4 linked regions of the Caenorhabditis elegans genome follow. The protein of the gene in region 3 interacts with the protein of the main gene of each other region in a pairwise test. Each region holds a gene or a part of one and is shown on either strand. Other genes may lie near its edges. The genes, in order: ugt-60, hsb-1, F39H12.1 and rpl-9.

What was found.
Region 1: the proteins of F39H12.1 (region 3) and ugt-60 interact in a two-hybrid assay, tested with the Caenorhabditis elegans proteins (one large-scale study listed by BioGRID).
Region 2: the proteins of F39H12.1 (region 3) and hsb-1 interact in a two-hybrid assay, tested with the Caenorhabditis elegans proteins (one large-scale study listed by BioGRID).
Region 4: the proteins of F39H12.1 (region 3) and rpl-9 interact in a two-hybrid assay, tested with the Caenorhabditis elegans proteins (one large-scale study listed by BioGRID).

The regions. Positions count from the first base shown.
Region 1 is NC_003281.10:9,675,179-9,681,849, reverse strand, and holds ugt-60 (Putative UDP-glucuronosyltransferase ugt-60), read left to right. Parts: upstream 1-2,798; 5' UTR 2,799-2,846; coding exon 2,847-2,968; intron 2,969-3,097; coding exon 3,098-3,239; intron 3,240-3,285; coding exon 3,286-3,501; intron 3,502-3,753; coding exon 3,754-3,853; intron 3,854-3,906; coding exon 3,907-4,023; intron 4,024-4,077; coding exon 4,078-4,343; intron 4,344-4,406; coding exon 4,407-4,604; intron 4,605-4,874; coding exon 4,875-5,026; intron 5,027-5,171; coding exon 5,172-5,382; 3' UTR 5,383-5,530; downstream 5,531-6,671. Other genes in the region: putative calcium-binding protein C07A9.5, read left to right, coding at 53-163, 213-326; C07A9.13 (USP domain-containing protein), read left to right, coding at 581-949, 1,631-2,152.
Region 2 is NC_003282.8:12,564,445-12,569,769, reverse strand, and holds hsb-1 (Heat shock factor-binding protein 1), read left to right. Parts: upstream 1-2,543; 5' UTR 2,544-2,557; coding exon 2,558-2,638; intron 2,639-2,692; coding exon 2,693-2,854; 3' UTR 2,855-2,859; intron 2,860-3,341; 3' UTR 3,342-3,675; downstream 3,676-5,325. Other genes in the region: Protein let-99, read right to left, coding at 1-171, 230-1,419, 1,467-1,819, 1,870-1,914; eak-7 (MTOR-associated protein MEAK7), read left to right, coding at 3,789-3,914, 3,970-4,149, 4,197-4,623, 5,068-5,213, 5,295-5,325.
Region 3 is NC_003284.9:832,286-839,232, reverse strand, and holds F39H12.1 (Pericentrin), read right to left. Parts: upstream 4,456-6,947; 5' UTR 4,445-4,455; coding exon 4,249-4,444; intron 4,192-4,248; coding exon 4,119-4,191; intron 3,888-4,118; coding exon 3,827-3,887; intron 3,451-3,826; coding exon 3,186-3,450; intron 3,136-3,185; coding exon 2,987-3,135; intron 2,943-2,986; coding exon 2,715-2,942; intron 2,654-2,714; coding exon 2,498-2,653; intron 1,772-2,497; coding exon 1,661-1,771; intron 1,616-1,660; coding exon 1,562-1,615; 3' UTR 1,412-1,561; downstream 1-1,411. Other genes in the region: F39H12.3 (RIIa domain-containing protein), read left to right, coding at 93-170, 226-314, 363-524, 834-927; wdr-54 (WD repeat-containing protein 54 beta-propeller domain-containing protein), read right to left, coding at 5,735-5,890, 5,945-6,073, 6,511-6,616, 6,658-6,788.
Region 4 is NC_003281.10:7,570,523-7,575,413, forward strand, and holds rpl-9 (Large ribosomal subunit protein uL6), read right to left. Parts: upstream 2,310-4,891; 5' UTR 2,294-2,309; coding exon 1,961-2,293; intron 1,910-1,960; coding exon 1,777-1,909; intron 1,727-1,776; coding exon 1,623-1,726; 3' UTR 1,583-1,622; downstream 1-1,582. Other genes in the region: lpd-7 (Pescadillo homolog), read left to right, coding at 2,832-2,954, 3,002-3,136, 3,182-4,217, 4,317-4,618.

The sequences.
Region 1 (6,671 bases), on a different chromosome or scaffold from region 3:
TAATTTTAATTTAAAACAATTTCACCTATTTTTCAAAACTGGTCATGTTCAGAAGCATGACTACATGCGTTATATGGTGAAGCATGAGACAACAAACATTCTTGACGATCATTCAGCCATTGAAGATGCTTTGAAGAACCTGGATGCAAGGAAGATTTCGGATGTAATTCCATATTTTCATATATATAGTTAAAATACATTATGATTTTCAGAGTATGTCTCGAAAAGAAGCTGAATTCTTCATGAGCAAGATTGCAAAGAAGGCCGAGACCAGCTCAGACCAAGTTTGCCTGGAATATAAGGATTTCGTTAACAGTTTTTATTAAATTATTATATGATCAAATAAAATATATTTTAATGGTCAATTATCAATATTTTTTGTAATAAAGTATGTATTGTTTGTTTTTACAACATTGTTTCAATGTATCTTCTGAAAACGTGTACTCCGAACGCTTCCATACTTGATTAATCTTATCATAAAACTTCATCATCAAAATCACATGAAAAAGGGCGTGAAAAACGTGAAAGCATTTTATTTCCATTTTTTAGAAATCATTATTATTCTTATTGTTCTACTACAATGCCATTCGGAGGTGCTGCTCCAGTTGCTGCCGGCGTTTCTGCTCCAGACGCTGACGATGTTCCTTCTCCAGATTATGCAGCCACCTCAGGTCTTCAGCTCGTTCGTCCTCATAGGGTGAAGTCTTCGTGCCTTACCCTTCGTAACGGCGGAGATGATTGCTTCATGAACGTTGTATTGCAGCTTCTGAAGCGTGCTTCGTTTGAAGATCATCTCCGTACATGTTGCGTTGGTGAGATGCATGAAGAGCTGAGGAAACTGCTCTCTGGTGAAAAAGACGTTGTCGGTCATCTGAGAGGAATGCTGAGCAGTAGCGAGCTGCACAAGGGAGTCAATTCGCCGTCATTTGCATTTGTAATTTTGCTAAAAGTGAGTATCAGATATTAATACCGTATTTCCTCTATTAGTAAATATTGCAGTCTCTAATAGTCTTCCATCCCACTTTTTAGACCTGCAAAACTTTCCGGAAACGTCAGAAAATTTGCCATTTCTGAGTAAATTAAACATGAAATGGTTCAAATAATAGATAAAATATTGGAAAATGGTCGCTTTCCCTAGGTTGTTGGGCATTCGAAAAATAGTCTTACAACCTCTAATATTCTTGCAGTCTCTATTAGTCTTGCACCCTAACGGACCAATTGAAAATTAGTCTTGAAAACTAGGCATGCAAGACTAATAGAGGAAATACGGTAACTTATTTTGTAACTACCCAAAACCATGCGTGCTTATTTTATCGCCATATTCGATGCGCAAATATCACATGAATACAGTAACCCGGTCGAATCAGTCACATCAAAAAAATGGTATTTCCTCGTCGAATATGGCCGCCGTTTTTCAAATTTTTGGTGTTTTTTTGAGAAAAAAACCGAGAACGAGAATTGGAATAAAAAATAACATTAAAAGGCGAATTTTAAAAAAAGCGAATGAAAATGCGAATAATTTAGAGAAGTTTCCTTAATTTCTATTTAAATAGAGGAACTAAATTTTTCGAAGATATATTAATCTAAATTTGTTAATTTTGAAAAAAAATCAGTTCAATATAAATTTCAGGACTTGGCTGTAGAGTGTAAGAACGACGCCAAGGTTCCCCATCCCATGCGGTACAAGAGCCACGTTGTTTGCAGTGTTCAAGGCTGCACAAAGCCGAAGCCGTCGAATTGGCCACTTTTCTGTGTGAAATTGCCAAAAGGAAAGTCGTTCACCGACATGGTGCTCCAGAAGCCATGGGAATGTAAGGACCACTTGGGAAAATCGGCTATGATCGAGAAGAAGATCATAGCCGACAAGTTCAACTCGAACTTCATATGGATCCATGTTGACTCTGCTGAGGGACGTTACAAACAAATGAGGATGAAGGACAACCAGGAATTCATCATCTTTGGAGAACATTGTCGGCTGGTCGGCTTTCTGGACGTTAAGATAGTACCCGAAGGCTTACACGGAATCGTTTGGATACATAATGGCGGAGGTTGGAGCCGGGTTTCGGATCATCACAAGAAGGAGTTTTGGAGCACGTCATTCGACATGGACTCAATCTATGCAGGCGCTCTGTTCCTGTTCGAGCGCAAATAAGAACTTTGTTTTTTAAATTAAATAAATTTTTTTCAATACTGTTTTTTTTAGCCGGACAACGTTTTCTTGCCTTGAGGATGGCCCCAAGTGATTTTATTCTTTTAATAAAATATAATCCAAACAAGAAAAGGTCAAGGCCCCCACGAGTCCGACAAAGAAAGAGAGGAACAAAATAATAGTGAGACCGGCAAGCGGAATGAGAAAGAAAAAAGAGAACAAAAAGGGAATTAGAGATCATAAACATAATTAAAACCGGAAAAATATTCAAATGAGGAATAAATCATGTAACAAATTGACGGGGAAAGAGAAAATGGGGAGTATTATGGAAAATGGATTTCCAGAAGGGGACAGTTGAGGTGAAAAAATCACTAACTTTGGGTTTTATACATATAATAATCATAAGCCTTTTTTGGGACTCTGTTATTCTGATCTGATCGTTTGAGTTAACTCCTAATGAGTAAAATACGAGGTACCGCTAATTGCAAGAAAATCACAAAACTTATTCTCAAAAACGGGTTCTGATTTAAGAATTTAATCAATAAACGATGTCCTTGTAACAAATGATACCACTGATCATTCGACCCTTTTTATTATCATTTCTCCATATCAGACACCTCCTGCAAATCCTTTGCATCTTACTTATCTCTTTTACCAATCGTTCTCTCAATGTTACAATTCAGATTGTCGAAAGATCATGTATCTACCTATTTTTTGTATTTTTCTGTCAGTTGTCGATTCCCTTCGAATATTGCAAATTGTACCCGGTTTCACTAATTCTCATGTTTTATTCAATTACCGACTTGCAGAAACCCTCAGGTATATTTAACGAGGGTTTTATTTTATGAAAAAACCAAAAAAAAGTTAATAAAAATGAAAAAAAAATGCTAAATGCTAAATTGTGTTTTAGAAATAACCTCAAAAAAAAATCCGCAGTTTTTATTTAAGATTTCTCGGTCATGATGTCAAAATGTGGACTCAAATGGAAATGGCGATGCTTGACACGGGAAATAACAAACTTCCGGAAGGTGTTTCTGAATACAGAATACCAATTCATTTCACGGATACTTTGAAAACTGAAGGATTGAAAGTAATCAATTAAACATTCCAAATATCTATTTAAGAAGTTTTTGCAGGTCTTCCAATCAATGATGTTCGAATCAGGAGATGCTCATGATTTATGGTGGACTGGTCAAGAATTCAAAGATATGAGAGTAGAAGCATGTGAACAAATGCTTCGACACGATGAAAGTGTGTATGAAGATTTTAGGAAAGACGGTTTTGATGTCGCCATTGCACATTTCCATGATTTGTGTCCACTTGCAATTGCGAAGAAAATGAATGTAAAAAGAGTAAGTGGAAGAGGAAAAGATTAGGATCTAGAAGAGTATCTTAAATTTAGGACTTGATGATTTTTATCGACTTTTAATAATTTTTAATTAATAATATCTAATCATGATTAGAAAACTGCATGAAAATCCGGATGAAAACTGAAATTGCCGATATCTTTCAAATAAAACACAAATATTTATGAGATGAACTTTACTTTTTACAAGATTCATAGTTCAGAGTTTTATTTTTAAAACAAAAAATAAATAATTAAGGTAATCTGGATAACACATGGAACATCAATTTACGAATTCTCGGCTGTACAGCTTGGACTTCGAACGATTCCATCAACGATTCCGCATCCACTTTCTTCAGGTATTTGACGCGTCTAGCTCAATTTTTTAGTAAGCAAAACTTTTCATTTTCAGCTGGTTTCTCTCAATTATTTCTGGATCGTGTACAAAATACTCTTTGGCATCTGTCACTTCTTGATTTTGTGAATCTTCCTCAAAATCTTCTCGTTGACGAGAATTTGTTCTATCGAGGTTTGTATGGCTGTGTACTGAGGGATCAAACAATTCGAAAATCAAAAATTTCAGAGTTCGTCGGTGCTGACCAAGATGATTTATGGGATTTAGCAAAAACCACAGTACCATCATTATTAATTAATGGGGATAGAATGCTTGATTTTCCACGACCACTTCCAATTCATATCGCTTTTTCTGGAGAACTGGGAGTTAGTAAAGGAAAGAAGCTGGTTATGGAAAAATGGTTAGAAGATATAATTGAGAAACCATCGGATGGACTTATTGTATTTTCATTGGGAACTGTATCAAATACTACAAATATGCCAGCTCAAATGATTGTAAGTTATTTGCTTTTGCTTCCAAATGGCTAAAACTCCTATTGTTTAATACAATAAATTCAGAACTCTTTCCTCGGCGCATTCGGAAAATTGAAGACTTACACAATTCTTTGGAGGATGGAAAAATCTGTGGCGGGAGCTGAAAAGTATGAGAATCTGCATTTGGTGAAGTGGTTACCGCAGAAGGATATTATGAGACACCCAAAAATGAAATTAATGATTGCACATGGAGGCTATAATTCTTTCTTGGAAGCTGCACAGGTGAGGGATCATTCAATATCACAACAAAGAAAATATTGTCAAATCCATCAATTGGTGCTCAAATGACAAAATATTATAGAGAATCTTTTCACCAATGTATTTTTGAGCTTGCAGAAGAGCTTGAAATACGTAGACACCCCCATTTACGCTATTTCTTCACTTTTAAATTCCAAATTGTCCGAATTTCCAAAACTCATCTAGAAATTGTCATTTTTTGTCTTTGTAGACTTATTATGAATCTACGATTCTTGTATCAAATAGTAGTTTCAGGCTGGAATCCCTGCTGTTCTGATGCCACTATTTGCGGATCAGAAGATCAATGCAAAGAGAGCCCAGAGATATGGAATGGCAACTGTACTGGATAAATTAGATTTGACTATCAATAATGTTTATGGAGCCATCAAGGAAGCATTGAAACCGGAGTAAGTTTGACAGGACAGTTTAGAAAATTCACTTTTTAACAAAGTTAACATTCCAAAACCAACGAACTTATTTTTGTGAAAAAATTGCAAAAATCTAATAGTAAAAATCTTTACTAATGGAAACAGATTCAAAATATATTTTCAGGTACTCCACAAATGCAAAAAAACTATCCGCGATGCTCTCAGATCAAGTTGCTCGAAAACCTTATTCTGCACTCCGATACTCTCTGAAATTAGCAACAAGTCCGAAACCTTCTCTGTTCACACTGAAATCTCAACATTTATCATTCTTGGAATTCCATAATCTTGACATATTTTCGATTGTATTGCTAACTGCGTTTATTGTATGTTTTTAGAGAAAACCAACTAATTGAAAAAAATTTGGGTAACTTAAAAATTTGACTTTTCGAAAAAATTGTCTTTTCGGCAAAAACAGTTGCTTGTATGAAATTAAAGAAAAACAACAAAACTGTAATAAGAAGATTTGAAAATTCACCTGAACACTGTAAAGCTTTGGGAGATGCTGAAGGTTTTAAAATCATGTTTGGACAGTTTTTTGTTAATTTTTGAAACATCTCGTCTATTTTCAGAGGTTCTATAACTAATTTTTGCCGGAATGTGGAAAAAATATATCTTAAAATTAACTAGTAAATTATTCTCGGAGTAGTCGAGTAATAATAGTGCGGTACTTTTCTCCAGAACATAATTTTTTTGATTATATAGTAGTACCATCCCTCTCCTTGTTAGCTACTTTCATATGAATAAATAAGCATACATTTATAAATGCCAAAAGCTAAGATTGAAAGATCAAGTCACATACTAGTCACATACGAGTCCAATGTACGTGTGCAATATTTATTCATATATTTACATCTCAATAGGTGTAATTAACTTCCTGTTACAAATGTTTCAGAGGATGAGAAAATGTATGGTATACCAAATATTCACTTCCGTGTTTTTTTTTTTCGTCTAACAACAAAATCGTTCTTCACAGATTTACATCAGAATTTTCCACAATATAAATACAAGAAAGGTTCCTGAATACAAAAACCTGGGTTCAAAGCTCAATTGTTTTTTCTTGTTTCCACTTAAGTTAAACCGACTCGGTAACAAATCGAGCTTTTTTTTTAAATAAAAACTTCAACGCGGAAGTAATTTTCTCTCTTCTAGAGGTTTTGATGTATCAAAATTTTAGATTTTGAAAAAATATGAACCACGTACTCGGCATTTCGTGTTTTCTTTCTCCCACCCTTTTGCCACCTTTCTACCACCAAAATGTAGAAAGGCGAAAAATGGATAGGGAAAGGCGGCAAAATGGTGGCAGATTGGTGACAATAGGTGGCAACGATGCTATTATTTTTGTTTGTTTTCACTCTGAAAATAAATAAAAACAAACTGCAATTAGGTTATACAATCTAAATTTATTTTATGAAACATCATATACATCATTAAAACATTTTAAATAATTAAAAATTCGTATTTTTCCATAGTTTGCTGCCACATAGCACGAATTTGCCTGTTTTTCGTGGCATTCTCCCGTCGATTTTCGGTAATCTGCAAAAACATGAATAGGAATATGTTTATTTATTAAGTAGAATTTGTAAACCCTTACCTTTCAAGATCCGGTGAGCAACCAGTTCAGGTC
Region 2 (5,325 bases), on a different chromosome or scaffold from region 3:
TGGAAGATCCGTTAGAAGGATCAGCGAGGTCGAAAACTGCATTCGTTTCGATCGATTGAATGAATGTAACAAATTTGTGAAGTTTCCGACGTCGTGAAGTTGGAAGCGAAAGAAGTACCAATTGAATTGCTTCGATCAACCATTGCTCTCGGATTTCGTAGGATTTTTCGTCTGAAATTATAATTTTAAGTAAAAATCGTGAAACTGTAATAAAAATAAAATTCTTTACCTTGTATTTCCAAATTCACTCTATTATCAAATGGTGATAACGCACGTCGTCGATACTTTGAAGCTCGAATTCCGCATGCTGGAAGATCACGGGAGAATCCATCGACCATCAATCCAGCCTCCTCAATACTAGACGCAGACGAAGAAATCATCACTTTCGACCATCGCCTTGCAGGCCCATTGTCAAGCATTGCCGCGAAGCTATCGATTTTGCAGAGGAGATTAACAATAAGAGAGCATTCATCGAATTGAAGAGGAGCATTCAAGTCTTCGAGACGATTGACTAGAGTTATGAAAATCCGATTGACGTTGTATTCCAACCCTGTGTCCATTTTTTTATGCGTGACGAAGGGATATCGAACAAGATAATCCATGAATTGAATAACAGTTTGGGGATAATCGGGCTGCAGTCCCTGACATCTCGATTTGACGATTCCATCAGCATGATCTATTTCAATCATGTTCCACTGAATATCGTATCCATCGACTTTAGATGCCCATTCACAGGGAAGAGTGCGATCGTAAATTTGTTCCAATCGTCCAAGCAGCTCTGTTTTCCAAAATGAGCATTCGTTGTTTGCCTGGACAGAGTCTGCAACTGGAACAACCGACGATCTTCTCATGATGGATTCGTACATTCTTCCACGCGATAACAATGCTGGATTTGATCCTGCGATGCTTGTCCGATGATTTTGATATCTGCTAGGAACTGCAGGCAACGGTCCTTGTGGATGCATAAAGACGACGTCTTTCGGGGCTTCTCGAATTGGCGGAGTGGTTACTTTCTGACTACGAAGAGCAGCTTCAGCTTTTTCTTGTTCCAAAACACAATGATTTCGATCAAGGGATGCTGAACGACGGGTTGGTTGATTGACTTTCGTGTGATTTCGTCTTGATTTGAAAAACGGTAACCAATCATAAACCTTCTCTTTCATCTCAGAAACTTCTCGTTTTTCAGTATATTCTTCTGTACAGATACTTTCAAGTGATCTGTTCAAAATCTTCGGAGTTCGTTGTTTCTTCGGGATTTCATCGTCTTTATGATCATCGAAACCGTGATTCTCAACGCCGCCTGAAGAATTATCGATGCCTGCTTTGTCAATGTTGCCATTAGATCGCGATAATCTTCGTGGGAGCCTTGCCTTTGGTGGCCGGTGCATTGTCGCGGCAGGAGAGGCAGGTTGAGCAACTCTGGAAATATATTTTATAGCACAGTTTAAAATGATTATTTGGCATACTTTGCACTTTTGCGAGCACCACTGAAAGACGCTGATCGACGTGATCGGGGCTTGGGATGCTTCAACTCATCCAAAGTCTTCATGAACAAATATATTCTCGATTCACTGAATGGCCTCCTTTGCTTGACTTTCTTCGGGAAGGCTTCTGAAATCACGTTCATGTCCATCATGAACTCCAGGAACTTCTGCATCTTGTCTCGTTCCGGAACATTGTTAGGGATGATTCGTGGCATTTCAATCATCAGAAAATCCACAGCTTCTTTCCCGCTGAAACTGTTTTCCGCAGTGGCCAATCCTCTTCTGTTCGTTTTGAGTGATAAGTTTGAACGAAAATGCCATAGAATTTCGTCGAACTGAAAATCAGAATAAAATTTCAAAAGACAAATGTGAAACATTTTAATACCAGATGCGTCGCCTTGAACTTCTCCGATGAGTAGTCGGCAGACATCACGGCAAGACGGCCTAAAACTTGAATTTTGATGGTTTATTGATAAATTTAAGAACTTCTTAAAAGAAAACGAGATTTCATCACGAAAAAAAGCAAGAATGAGGAAAAATTTCTGGAAACTTCCTAAAAATTGCTGAAACGAGTGAAGTTTTGGCGCCGAAGTTTTGTTTACGGACCAAACACACGAAAACACGACTTGTCACACAACTTATTAGCTACAGTAACCCATTCTGCTTTGAAAATTTCTCTTTTTAATTAAAAATTCCTCGATTCAGATGTTTTTTTTTTCTCAAAGTGTTTCTAATAATTATATTTTCCTCGAAATCCACACTATTTTACATAAAACAAATCATCTTATTCTGCTCTTTTCGCCGTTTACACCATCTGTCCTTCTCCAATGACTCCTTCTCTGCGTCTCTTTCACTCTCTCGCCGCCCTCTTTTTCTCTGTCGTCTCTCACTTCGACGTACTTTCTCTCGTGTTGTTGTTCCCGTACTTTTGTGTGTTCCACTGTTTGTGAGATGACGGCTAGTTGCCTGGTACTGGATTCTCACCAGTTTTAATTGATTTTTCATCAAATTTTCTTTAAAAACTGATTAAACTTTGTGATTTTTATCGTATTTTTACAGATTTTCAGTTCAAAATGTCCGATGAGAAGTCTACCACACCAACCGCTCAACTCGACGCTCCAGCCGATGGAAATATGAATGATTTGACGTCGTTGGTACGTAAATACTTGAAAAAAATTGTCAATTTTCTAAAAAATCCTAAAACTCAGATACAAGGAGTTCTGCAACAGACACAGGATCGATTCCAGCACATGTCGGATCAGATTATTCGGCGAATCGATGATATGACAACGAGAATCGATGATTTGGAGAAGAATATCAACGATTTGCTGCAATCGAACCAAGTTGAACATCCGCCAAGCGCTCAATAAGATTGGTACGGAATGAGAAAAATGGGAAACATTCTCAAAAATTTCGGTCGATGTTTTGACCACTCGTTATTTTTGAAAAACAGTGTTGTTTTTGATGTCGACTTTGAAATTTCAAAAAAAAACAATAATATGGGCCGTGGGACCCAATTAGAAATACAGTAAAAAACGCTCTTTGGCCGAATATTTTATAATTTTCATGTATGAAGTCAATCCTTTTATTCCTTCTTAACTTTAGTTTGAAATATATTTAGATTTCCTAGCGCCTTTCCAATCGATTTACCACGTGGTAATCAGGCCGATTGCACCGTTATTCCAAGACTTTATCATTAAAAATTAGTATAAAAATATAGAACTTCACCTATTAATTTTGGCTGAAAAATTCGCCGAAGAGCTCAAAAATGGTCTGAAAGATGCCAAATTTCCACTAAAAAATCAATTTGTAGAGATTATTAATAACTAATCTCTCTTCAATTTCTATTTTTTCCAGCTCTACACTCTTCCCAAATGAATCATCGTCGCTTCCTTCTTCATCATCATCATAATTCCAATTCGTTTTGTGTGCTTCTCTGCGTCTCTCCTACATACATATACTCTTTTCACGTCTTCTTCTTCTTCTTTTTCTACTGATTATGCACGTGTTGAGAGGATTCATGACTACTATGTTGTGCCTCCTGCTTTTAATCTCTTATTCAATAACTTTTGTTGCATTTTATTACGATTTTCGGAATTATTTTATTTATATGTGAAAACACAAATTTTGCCAAAAATTCAAATTTTTGTGCATTTTTAAAAAAAATTTTCAATATGAAACTATTCATCTTACTTTTTCTTCTTCTTCCCTTGAATTTTTTCTCATACTAAATGTTGATTTCTCACAGTTTTTACTAACTATTTCGCATCCGGATTTTCAGATAAAAAACATATAATTTCAGAAATGGGAGCTCAAAATTCGAAGCGAAAAGATCTAAAAAATATTAACGATGAGGATTATGCACATTTTATGGAAAAACTCAAAAAACACACAGATGGAAAGGACAAAATGACGCGAGACCAGTTTGTGGTGAATTAATTTTTAGAAGGAAAATACATTTTAATATAAAATTTTCAAATTCCAGGCAATGTTCATACCGATTCTGGGTGAATATTCATCACAATTCTACTTTCGTTTGGTAAAAAACGAGCCGCAGGGCGTTTTGCTCGCTAAAACAATCCTAAAATGTATTGATACTGGACTGGGACATTTCGATCAGCTCGCCGATATGCTCAGATTCTGTTTTGGAGATCAAAAAGATCAGGTTTCGAATTTATTAATTTAAAGAAAAACTTCTTTTTTTTTTGTCAGATAATGCGAAATGTTGTGAAAATCTTCTGTGAAGGAAACAAATTCACCCGAGAGGATCAGGTCCGTCTCTACGATTATTTCGAAACAGAAAATACAAAACCAGTGAGCGAACTGGAAAGCTTTTTCTCAATGTGCCCACTGTTCGCCTATTGTGCTTCGTTCATTTTCCAACGACTTTTGGATAAAACTGGAGACTCGAAAATGCCAATTCTCTCGGACAAGACTCATTTAATGGGAAATATCGATCAATTAGTGCTCAACTCGCACCTTCCATTCGATCGACGCAAAAATTGGACACTTTTATATTCAAACATGAAACACGGGCAAAGTTTCTCACAATTGGTTAAATGTATTAATGGAGAAGGTCCTTGTATGATTGTGATCAGATCAATGAAAGGACGACGATTTGGGTTTTTCGCCTCGCAAGGTACACAAGAAATGTTGTGTCGATTTACGCAGCTCGTGTACTCCTCGAGAAGAATTTATACCTTATGATTTGCAGAAGATTTTACAGATTTTACTTTTTTTGCAGATTTTCTAGATTTCAGATCTTTCTTTTTGTAGACTGAAACCGAGAAATTGTAGTTTTACAATAGCAAATACATTTTCAAAAATGCTATAAATTATAGATAAATTGATGATTCCAGTTTTAAATATCAAAAAAATTGACAAACAGTTTCAAAAATTGAACATTTCATCCAAAAACTGTAAAATCTTCCTCCACGAGGAATACACGAACTGCGTAAATCCACACATGGCTGTGTTACAAGTTTCGCAGTAATTCTTCATTTTTTCAATTATGATAAAGCAACGGAATTCTAGCAGATACTATTTGAGTACCAATTTTCTCTAAAAATTGAAAATTTTTTAGGTTTTCTCGCGGGACCCCAATACCGTGGCACGGCCGAGTGTTTCCTCTTCCAGCTGGCTCCGAAAATTGCAACTTTTGATGCGACCGGGCGGACTGAGAATTACGTGTACCTAAACTACCAGCAACAGCAACATCCGAATGGATTGGTGAGTATATCCCGCCATGGATCATTCAGTATCTAGAGAACCAGTTTTACGATTTTTAAGTGTGAAATTTTCAAATTTCAGGGAATTGGTGGAACCGAATCCGTATGGCCGT
Region 3 (6,947 bases):
TGCACGCTACCACCAAGAATATTATATTTTTAAGCCACATGACTCAGTGAATATCAAAACAAATTCAACGCGCCAAACTTTTCTCATTTCAGTTTGCTGAAGTTGAGCGACCAGCCAGTCCAATGGACACTGCCGCAACTAAAATTCAAGCCGCTTTCAAAGGACACTTGGTTTGTTTTAATCCTCTGCCTTGTAGTATGTAAGTATTACTGTGTAAAGTTCCAGGTCCGCGCTCACCCAGAAAAGTATGGAATGAGCACTAGAACTTCTTCTTCTGAGAAGCTTGATTCTGCCAACAACAAGAAAGATCAAAAGTGAGTACTACATAATAGAATAGAAATGTCTGAACTAAATGAATTTAGGCGTCATTCCGTGGGAGGTTACACCATTGATGTGGACACTCCGGAAGACAGAGCCGCGACCAAGATTCAATCTGAAATTCGCGGATTTCTTACTCGCAAGCACGTTGATAAGATGAAGAAGGAGGATACTGACGCGGCAACTAAGATTCAGGCACATATTAGGTTTGTTAAAAATATTTGTGTTGCTTCTTGAAATATCAGTAATAGTTACTTATACCCTTGCAAAAAATTTCTGAATGTGTTATAGAACGTCATAGGTTAAGTAGCACTGTTTTATGTTTTATTAGATTGAATGCAGAAGACAGTATTTTACAGGGAATTGTTTATTTTATTTAAACTAACTGCTGGAGACCTACTTGCTATAAAATTGAAGTTTGATAATTTTTGAGACATTTGAAGTAAATCAAACGGTACCTGAAAATGTTGCGAGTGATATATATGACAAACTTAGCAACTCCAAGTCTTTTTCAGAGGCTTCTTGACACGAAAACACTTGGACGAACAGGGCCTATCTCCATCCAGAAGTCACTCTTCCCTTCAATCCGACCATTCTGATCACAACTAAAAAAACCATATTCGAAATTTTTTCACAGCGCAGACTTTCCAACGAATTCATGCCCAGAGATTAATATTATTTCTGTCTTCAAATTTTCTAACTTTTATTTTTCTAACTTCCTATCGTATACACTCGTCGTCATTATCTCTTAATAAATAAACCAACAAACAATGTTCATTTCATGATTTCACTATCAAAGTCTTATCCGAACAAATGAATAAAAAAAAAGACAACTGTTAGTGAGTTCTAAATTTTGTCAAGAAATATTTTTGGTGAATGTTTTTTTTTTCAAAATTTTTAAATTTCGGTACTTGTGTAATATACGTGGGCAACCTTTTTTCTTCATATTAAGCTAAAATGGAAATCAGTTTTCCGTTTGGATTAATTCAGCATTTTCAGAAGAAATGAATGGAAACCGTATTGGAATATACTGTTGGGCCAGGTTAACTACAAAAAACAAAAATTGTTATAGTTCTTTGGCTGAAAAGTAATTTTTAAGTAAACCCTTCATTCAATAACCAAAAAATTCAAATTGAAAGCCAAATCGGAATCAAAAACTAAAAAAAAGACATTTCGGATCAACTGAATATCACATATAAAATCTACATAATTAGTAATCAATTGAATAAACTTGTGAAAAATGCTATGTAGAACCCTTTTCATCTGATTGTGCAATATTGTCCGTGAGAGCCAACGCCTGAAAAGGGAAGTAAAATCTTGTTGTTTCGATGATCCAACTTACTTGTTGCTTCAAAATATCTTTCAATTCTTCGTTGTCCACGAGGATTTCATCAAGTTGCTCGATCTTTTCACCATGCATGATTAAGGTCTCATTGAGTTGTTCTTGCAGCCTCTAAAAAATTGGATTGCTGTTTGAAATTGGGGAAAAAAATTGGGATTTTCGGAAGTTCTTATCACTTGTAATCCTTTTCCTTCACCGTTTTTTTGTAGTTCACAGTGATGATTGAAAACACGCTTATTTTATTGAAAACATTCAAATTATTCTTGAACAAAATCTCAGCCTAAGTTATTCGTACAGTGTCGGCCCTGGAGCAATGAATCGAAGTTTAAAGAGATTTCACTTTACACAGTAAGAGCTTCGAGCGAAGCCTCAAACCTGAATAGTCAAGTTTTCTAAACATATACCCCACTCCTGAAATAATTTCAAAGAGATCTCGAATAACCCGTTAACAGGTTCGAGGCGAAGCCGAGAACCTGCGCCAGCTACCTTGCTAATAACTTAAAGCGAATTAACCCTATCCCCATTCCCGAAGGGCTGGCGGGCCCATATATCCGCTAGTCAATTAATCATATTCAAATATTTTCAGTGTTCAAACCTGCATTAATGCTCGAAATCATTCAAAAATTACACATCTTTGAATAATTTTGTCATTTTATAAAAACTTTAATTTAAAACTTTGAAACATCTAAACAAAATTTAAATATCGTAATAGGATCTTTTCTCGTGCTGGACTATTCAGCGTGTATTTAGATTAGATGGCGGTATTAACCTCCGAAATAATAATTAATCTAATATGCAAAAACCGATATTTGCCCAAACGATTTATTTTTATCTCACCTCAATTTCCGCTTTATCACTTCGTCTCTGCGCCAAAAGAAGTCTCTTTTCCATCTCTAATTGTTCAATTATCTGCAGAAGGTCGGTCACATTCCCGTTCTTGCCATTTGGAGAAGATGCGATTTCCTTTTCTTCTCTCTCCCACCGATGGCTTTCCTAAAACATTGATTTACGAGTACGGTTGTGCAAAAAATTGTCCATTAGAGCAAAAACTCACATCAATGTATACTGATTTAGTTTGTGTAGATTCATCATGTTTGACGACTTGATTCGTTTGCTCCCGAGACTTGTTTTCACAGTTACAGGGTAATTGTATAATCTTCGGTGATGAGGATTTCCTCTTCGCTTGATTCTCCAAGCTTCTTTTAATTTCTGCTCCAAAAGTTTCGAAATCACTGATAAATGTTTCTTCTGTTTTTTGTAGCGCACCTTTCATTTGTGAGATCTAAGACAATAGCCTAATTTTCAAAATTTTTTCAAAAAAAATACCTGGTTTCTAAAATATTGAAGTACATCTTGAGTTCTGTGCCACGAATCTGTGCTATTTTGGTACTTTTCCTCTAATTCAATTTTCTCCTTTGTTAATTGGGAGCAAGTATGTTTGAGATTTGAGATTTCTTGATGAAAGTGATCCCGTTCTGAAAAATTTAGTCATTGAATCTATATTTTCTAAAAAAGTATTTCTTACCTTCACTAAGCATGTTCACAACTTTTTCATTCACGGAAAATCTATTTTCCTCCATTTCTCTCTCAAGATTTGCATGGCTGTGTTGTAAGAATTGATTTGCTTTTTTGTACTCCGTTAGTTCCTTCCGCAATCCATAAATTGCTTGGTTGAGAATTTCTTCAGGATTTGGTAATGTTACTTCTGGCACAGCAACTGGAGCTGGAGCCGGTGCTGGAGCAGGTGTCAGAGCTGCAGCGGGGCTCACAACACTCGATATTGAGATATCCTGTAATTTTTAATAATATATGTATTGAAAAATGATAATTAGTATTGTACTTGATTACTAAGTTTTGCTGTTTACTAGTATATTGTTTGTTGAAAAACGTTCTACAAATTTCAAAACGGATTGGGATCCGATCTGATAAAGTTTGATGTTTTTCTAATCCCTGACTTGCTCTGAGACTTCGCCCCGAAACAAAATCATTATTCAAATCACAATCTAAAATTCCATCACTCTAAATTTAAATCTAGTTTCTGCCGCTTCACATCTTGTCTAGGATTTCCCTGATACCTTGTTCAAGATCAGATCATTGTCTTGTCTTAGCGAAAGTGACTTTCTGTGTGTTATGTATACTATGATGTCATTTAATGTAGCTACTCACCGTATCAAACTCCATTGGTATTATTCGTAATCGATCCGGTGACGCTGTCCGTGAAGATGCTCTGAAGTTATGTTTTCTTTTAGTCAGTAGATCTACCAGTAATGTCAGTGCAACTGTTAGTTTGGTCAGTGCAACTGTCTAGTTGGTCAGTGCAACTGTCAACTTGGTCAGTGCAACTGTCAAGTTGGTCAGTGCATAATCCAAGTTGGGTTAGTGCACTCATAATTATAGTCAATACATCCACAAATTTATCATTATGGTCAGATTATTGTTATGTTTACATAATTCTTACCTTGTTAAATGTTCAATGTCCGATGAAATAATTGTTTGAATATCATCTCCAATATATCGATTATTATGAAATGCTAGAAAACGGGAACTAATTATTAATATTTATTCATTTAAATTTAAGAAAAACTTACGCGGTAAAACAGGTTCCAACATAACAATATCGTCAGCTAATGGCTCGGACCCTTGTGACGGAGATGAGCATTCCTGCTCAGCATGAACTTCATCTGGCACATCAACTTCAACCTCGGCTGCTTCTGGCCTGATATCCAACACCTGATCAATTCGTTTTTGTGCTTGAAGTATTGCTTCTTTCCAATTAACATTCATTGTGCCTGAAACTGACTAAAAAGGTAAAATAGAACAGACAAAAGCTGGTAAATAAGAAGCGTGTTGTGTAAAGTTCTGACGGAAGGAGAAAAGATGAATCAGATAAGCAGTGACGGAATTTAGTGGAATCCACGTTTTATTGGGTTGAACAGAGGAAATGGAAGAGACACATTGTGTCGTGGAGAAACCTAGGCCAGGAGGTATTGGGATAACAAAATTGTTGTGTTGAATAAATATTAAAATATAAATATAACAATACAATTTTAAGATTTCAAAATTCAAATGAAAACTTTCTGATTAGGTATATTGAAAATTTTAACAAATCAACAGTTAAATAAATTTCAAGAAAATAAATTGGCATTGGAGTTTCGATATAAAAATACAGTCGAAATATAACTTCCCTTATTTTTCAAAATCAAATGTACTTATAAAATGCAAAAATTCTATAAAATCTTCATTTTCATGTTGCCAAAAAATAAATCAATAGCACTACGCGTCAAGAGGAACTAGAGAGAGAGTGGAGGGGCAGAATGTTGAACAGCTGTCCTAAACATAACTAGCTGACTGAGGAGGAACAATAAATTATGAATATTTATTTTTGTAGAAAAACGATAATATTCAATTTATTCAACTTGACAAAGCGAATAAGAACATAATCAAAAATTTTCAGGTTAAAAAATGTCAGTTTTGTCAGTTTTGGGAAAATAGGGTATAATTGTGTTTTAAAGGCTATTGCTGATAGTGAGAAATTATTTTTTAAGACGTTTCAACTTCTAGAAATGTATACCGTATTTCCTCTGTTAGTCTTGCATGCAAGACTAAATTTCAATTGGTCCGTAGGGGTGCCAGACTAACAGAGGAAATACGGGATTTCTAGTATTTGGAGTGTTTCATGAGTTAGAATCAATAAAACCTTCATTTTTACAGCAATATTTTGAAGCTAGTATACATTTTTTAGCAGAATCCTGTTTTGTTTAGAAAACACATAAAAGAATAACAAGTTCATTCATTTACTAATATTGATGGAATTCATTCAAAATGGAAAAAGAGAGAATGCACAGAGAATTCATAATCGAATGCCAGAATTTAAAAGAATAATACATTTTTGAGAAATTATATAATTATTATATTATTAGTCTTGCGAAGCAATGCTTTGACAACTCAGATCTTAGTTTTACAGATAAATCTTGCTAGCAAAATAGACTACATGGAGTGTAATGTTTTTTTGTTATTAAACATATTAAAAGCCAAATACAGATATATTAATTGAAGATACACAGTAAAATATAATTATGTAGCAGGTACAGCAGTTTTCTTGATAATCTTGTACATCACCAAGACGTTGCTATCAAATGCGGCAATTGCAATTGCACTCCCGCGTCCATTTGTGAATTGCGCTCCCATGATGACGTTGGACGGATCGCTGTCAGAGAAACGGTATTCAACCTGAAATTGAGTTTTTGTGTATACCTAAATGTTCTCGACTTTCTGTGAACTAACTTGATAAGCATGTGGTTTTCTTGTGTGAAGCTTCGAAACGATAAAAGTGCCATCCTCGGAAGAAGTCAAGACATATGCGCTTTCCGGTGCGACAGAAACACTATTCACTGGTCTTGAATGAGCATTTATCTGTGAGAAATTATTATAAGCAACATTTTCACAAGCATGAAAATAGAAAAAGTATCGAGAAGAAGCCCGAGTTTTCAGTCATGTTTCCATAAAGGGCTCTTCAAGCACTATGCACTGCATATCTGGGAGTCAGGTACACTGGCTGGTGGTAATCCCAATGGGCTACAATTTAGGCCACGTCCTAGCCGGAGACTGTGGTTGATAGTCTTGGATTACTTCACTTCCCAATAGAGGCTGGATGAACCTAGCGGGGCGAGTCCGGACTCGAACTTGTGACCTCCAGATTGCTAGCGGCCACCATTACCGATTTTTTTTAATTGCCTTGAGGATGACCCACAAGTGAATTTATTGTTTAATCAATCCCGATTGAGCTATCCCAAAGTTTTTCACCTGATTTTCTGTTAAGTTCCGATTCCCTCCCCCTCAACTATTCTTACCTCACACATAAGATCTCCCGTAGTTACCGAATAATACTGAACAATTCCTCTCAAAGTTCCCACGATCACCTGCTTTCTCAACACATTTATTACGTTGATGTGCTGCCTAAAATAAACATTTTACGTCAGAAACTTAGAGTATATTACTTTGTGATAACTCTCGAGTTCACCCCTTTTACGGGTTTTTGCCATATGATCAGTTCTCCGTTCGAATCGGCACTGACAGTTATTTCATCGTAACGACACGTGGCTATGTCCGTGATGGCACAACGATGTTCCTGAAACATTATTTGAAATTGGAGGGGTTTCTTGCACGAAGCCAAGAAATGGGTGGGGGCCCAACTTTCCCATAGATCAAAGCAAGAAGACAGTTTGAATACATTTTCTTTTCAAAGAGATTCTCCACAACTGATTTCTCACTACTTCCATGAAAATGT
Region 4 (4,891 bases), on a different chromosome or scaffold from region 3:
AAGAAGGAGAGACAATTGAATTGCTGGAGGGCAGGTTAAAGATAGCATAGTGCCTTGTCGGTGATCTGCTTGGGATGGTAGGAAGAGAGACAGAGAGAGTCAAAAGAGGCGAACACAACACACACATACACACGATATTCAGAAGGAAGGAAGGCGAGAATAGTGTGTAGATGGGTGGAGTGAAAAGGGCTAGGTGCTGGCACATTTGGGTCGTTGTTGGAGAAAGATAGAAGAGAATATTGAAAGAAAAGAATAATGAAAAGGGATGGTTGTGAGTATGCTAGAATAGTGCAATGTCCCACAGTTTACTTGAGCTCAAACATCAGGAGTTTGAAAGATCTGAATAAGTGTTCTAAATTTGGGAAAAGCTGTAAAGCGACCTACGTCTGTATCGTTCCTGTCCAAGCATAATATCATCAATTTCAATAACAACTATAAACTAAAATGGACGAATTTTAAGACTGATATGCAAAAATTGTCCGAATTGTACTCATATTTTGCCAGTTTTGACTTGTTATACCAAGTCTGTAAAAGTTTTCCTAATTTTTAGAACGACTTTATAATGCAAATTTTTGAATTCCTAAAAATAGGGAACAAATGAAGGGGAGCAAAACTATTAGAGGTGCGAAACTAATAGAGGGTGCAAAACTAATTTTCGATTGGTGATTTTTGATGCAAAACTAATAGAGGCGCCTAACTAACAGAGGAAATACGATATATATATATATATATATATATACATATGTCGGATTGTAATTTTTTTCAAATTGTGCAGTTAGTTCTTGGTCACTGAATTTGGACTTTCTGAGAAATTTCGAGAAGTGTTTCAGGTTTGAGCCACTACAATCGTTTAAAAAAACATGATTGTATTATTAAGAAACACAATTTTCTTGGTCGTCTTCAAAAACTTGCTAGGGGAAAACTGAGTTATTGGAATTTTTGACCGTAACTTAAACATTTTCTAATATATTTTACAGATTTCATCATTTCAGCATCTCCTCAGTGACATCACCACAGAAATACTTTTTTAAAAATATTTTTTTATTGCCAGATCTTCAAATTTCAAAATAGTTTGTAGTAAATTTTCATCCTTGCTATTGAGTTGATTAATTTTTGACATGTGCTCTTAAAGGCGCATGGATTTATTCAAATGGGTCTCACCACGCAACATAGTTATGGTATTATCTTTTGTTTAATTTTTGTGACTGCTTCCTTGTTTACATATTTTCCTTGTACGTTTCAATGAAATTACATTGTTTTTATTTTTTGCATGGAACCGAAACAAGGAAGCAGCCGCAAAAAAAAGGCTACCGTAAACTTTTTGTGTGCCGATACCCATCTGAATAAGTCTATGCGCCTTTAAGACCTACCAAAATCTTGCCAAATTACGATACATTTTCAAACAGCGCTATGGCCATGGAAAGTTTCTCCCGAATTTTGGAAAAAACCCAATATTATCTACAGAACCACAAAATTTGTACAAATAGTCCAGATAATACAATCACCGTCGCTTTCTCTAGTAATGCACTCCATTAGCACCTTTGACCAGATTCGTTGTTCGCTAATTCAAATAAAAACTTCAGATTTTGATAACAAATTCATTAACAAAAAGCGACTAGAAATTAGTCAGTTGGGACGATGGTGGTCTTCTCCGAAACGTAGATTCCGTCGAGGAATTTACGGATATCCTTCTCCTTAACGGCGGTGGATTGTTGGATACGGGCAGCTGCAGAAATAATAATTTAAATGTGAAATAAACAAAATAAGTTTTCTTACCGGCTTGAGATACGAATTGGACATCATTTCCCTCGACTACGATCTCGTCCTTTTGGGCGGTGGAGATGGTGGCGATGACTCCCTCTGGAAGTGGGACACGACGAACGATCTTCTCTCCCAAGAAGTTACGGATCTGAATAATGTGTGAGTTTGAATTATGAAACACATGAATAATTTCACTTACCTCAACAGTTCTGTTTCCATCTTGAAGGGTAACGTTGATGGGGAAATGGGCATATACGGAACGCATCTTGTAGCGGAATCCGACGGTGACTCCCTTGATCATGTTCTTGATGTGGGAGCAGACAGTGCGGATAGCGGCAAGCTCCTTACGAACTCCGAACCACTTGCGGACGCGGAGGGTGCTCTTTCCGATACGCTCCATCTCCATGTGCAAGTGACGGAAATCCTTGCGGATGGTTCCGCGTGGTCCGGTGACATGGACGATGCGGTTCTTGACGGTGAAGGTGACTCCCTCTGGGAACACAACAGTGTCGTTAGACTCGATCAGCTTCATGATCTCCCTGGATTACCTGGAAACGATAAAATGAATTGCAACGCATTAAAAGTAAATATCAAGAATTAAAAATCAACAGAGTTCGGTTCAATACGTTTTACTTAATCGTGAAACATGTAAGAAAAACTGCAATTGAAACGGCACTAACACTTTTGAAATGGAGATTAGTGAACAACGTTAGAAGAAAGATAAAGTCGGGAGAAGGAATATTTTTCAGTGTTGAAATAAGCTCCGTATCGCACATGCTGTATAGCGTCGATACTCAGCGAAATAGAAACCGTGCGGCAGTTGCGTTCTCTGTCTCTTCGAATCTCCTCCTACTTTTCTGTGCCCTCTTCACTTCGACACCAATTTTTCGCCAAATGTGGTCGTTTTCACCATTTTTTATCGCGCATCACTCATATTTACATAGAAAATCAACTATTTATAATTTATCTTAGCAATTCAGTAATATTCAGCTAACTAGTTTTCCTGGTGTCTTGATAGTCTCGTTAATTCCGTCGGAAGCTTCGTCTTATTATTTCGTATTTTCAGCAGAATGAAGGACCGATTCAAACAAAAGTACACAGCCGGAGCTGCCGTGGCATATATGTCACGGAAACAAGCATTGAAGAAGCTTCAACTTACACTGAAGGACTTCCGCCGACTTTGTATTATTAAGGTTAGTACATTAATTTTTAAATTAGTCATCGAATTCAAATTTTTCAGGGAATCTACCCACACGAACCGGCCCACAAGAAGCAAGCAAACAAGGGTTCAACTGCAAATAAGGTGTTCTATTATCGCAAAGACATCAATTTTCTCGCCCACGAACCCATCATCAATAAGTTCAGAGATTATAAGGCAAGTTTATCTTTGTTCAACAAAATAAACTTTGAATGTTTTTAGGTGTTCCTGCGTAAATTGAATCACTTGAAAGCAAAGAAGGAAGAGGATAAACTCAAGAAGTTGTACGAAAACAAGCCAGTCTATAGTCTGGACACTATCGTCAAGGAACGCTTCCCAACATTTGGATCAGCTCTCAGAGATATGGATGACGCCTTGTCCCTTTGCTTCACATTCGCTATGCTTCCACATACTCGTGTTCTCAAAGAAGGAATGATTGACAGTTGCCGAAAACTCACTGCGGAGTTCATGCACTATGTGATTGAATCGCAATCTCTTCGCAATACCTTCATCTCGATCAAGGGAATTTACTATCAAGCGGAGGTACATGGAGAGAAAATCACTTGGGTTGTTCCACACGAGCGTGGTCTTCCACATGTCACCGATGTTGATTTCACAGTCCTCGTGACTTTCGTCGAGTTTTACATTGCCATGTTGGGGTTTGTCAATTTCAAGCTCTATCAAGACATCGGACTCTTCTACCCACCACAGATCGGGCAAGTCGTGAAAACTGATGAAATGGAGACTGAAGAATACAAAGAAAAGGTGTACAGTTTGGCGAAACCATTGGCTAAGAGAAAGGATGTTGAGCAGGCTGAAGACGATGAGCCGTTGGACCTTCTTGGTGAAGACTCTGATGCACTCGCGCAAAAAGTCAGAGAAGCAAAAAGCATCAAGACTATGTTCAAAGGTTGCGTTTTCTACTTGAATCGAGAGTGCCCAAAAGAAGCACTCACTTTTATTATTCGTAATGGAGGTGGAATTGTTGGATGGGAAGGAGGCCCTACAGATCTCAAGGCCGACAGTAAAAATATCAGTCACCACGTTGTCGATCGGCCAATGGACAAGCTGGAGGTGAATAGACTTTATGTACAGCCACAGTGGGTGTTCGATTGTCTGAATGCTCGCAGGAAGCTGCCTACGGAAAGATACATGCCAGGAGTAGCTCTTCCGCCACATTTCTCACCATTTACATCTGAGAAGGCTGGAGACTACATTCCGTTCGAAAGATTGGAAGAACTCAGAAGCATGGGCAAAGGTGTGTTTTGTTTTTACTTTTGTGTAGTATTCTATCTTTTCAATCTGATCTGAAGGAACGAGATATTAAATTCACGTCCTTTAATAAAATATTGTTCAGACGTGTCTGATCTCGAAGCAGCAATTCCGAAGACGATGGACGAGTTGCCAATGCGAAGAAAGGAGGTGAAACCAGAAAAACCAAAGGGTATTCACATTGCTGTTGGTCAAATGCACAAGAAGAGCAAAGAGAAGTTCCACGAGACTGTCGAGAAGGGACAGGAGTTGAAGATGCGCGAATTGATGATTTCCAAGAAGCACCAACGAGTGTACCACAGTATGAAGACCACGTTCAAACGCAATCGCAACGACGCTTTGAAATTGAAGAAGAAGGCCAAGTTGGCAAAGGCAACAGAGGCATAAATCATATGCAAGTTGTGTTCTCTCGTTTTGTTTTGTTGAAATTGTTGATTTTATCTCTTTTAATAATCCATCTTTGTTTTGTTACCATTATTATGCCCATTATCATTGATAAATGACGTTCGGAAATAATTTTACAATTGAAAAACAGTTTTTATTCAAATTCAAAGTGACAAAAAATAAGTTAAATATAAATAGAAATCATGACTTATTGCTTTTTTATAAGTAAAACTAGGTGAGATCTAAGGCGATTTTGTATTGGTTGTCGTGGATTTT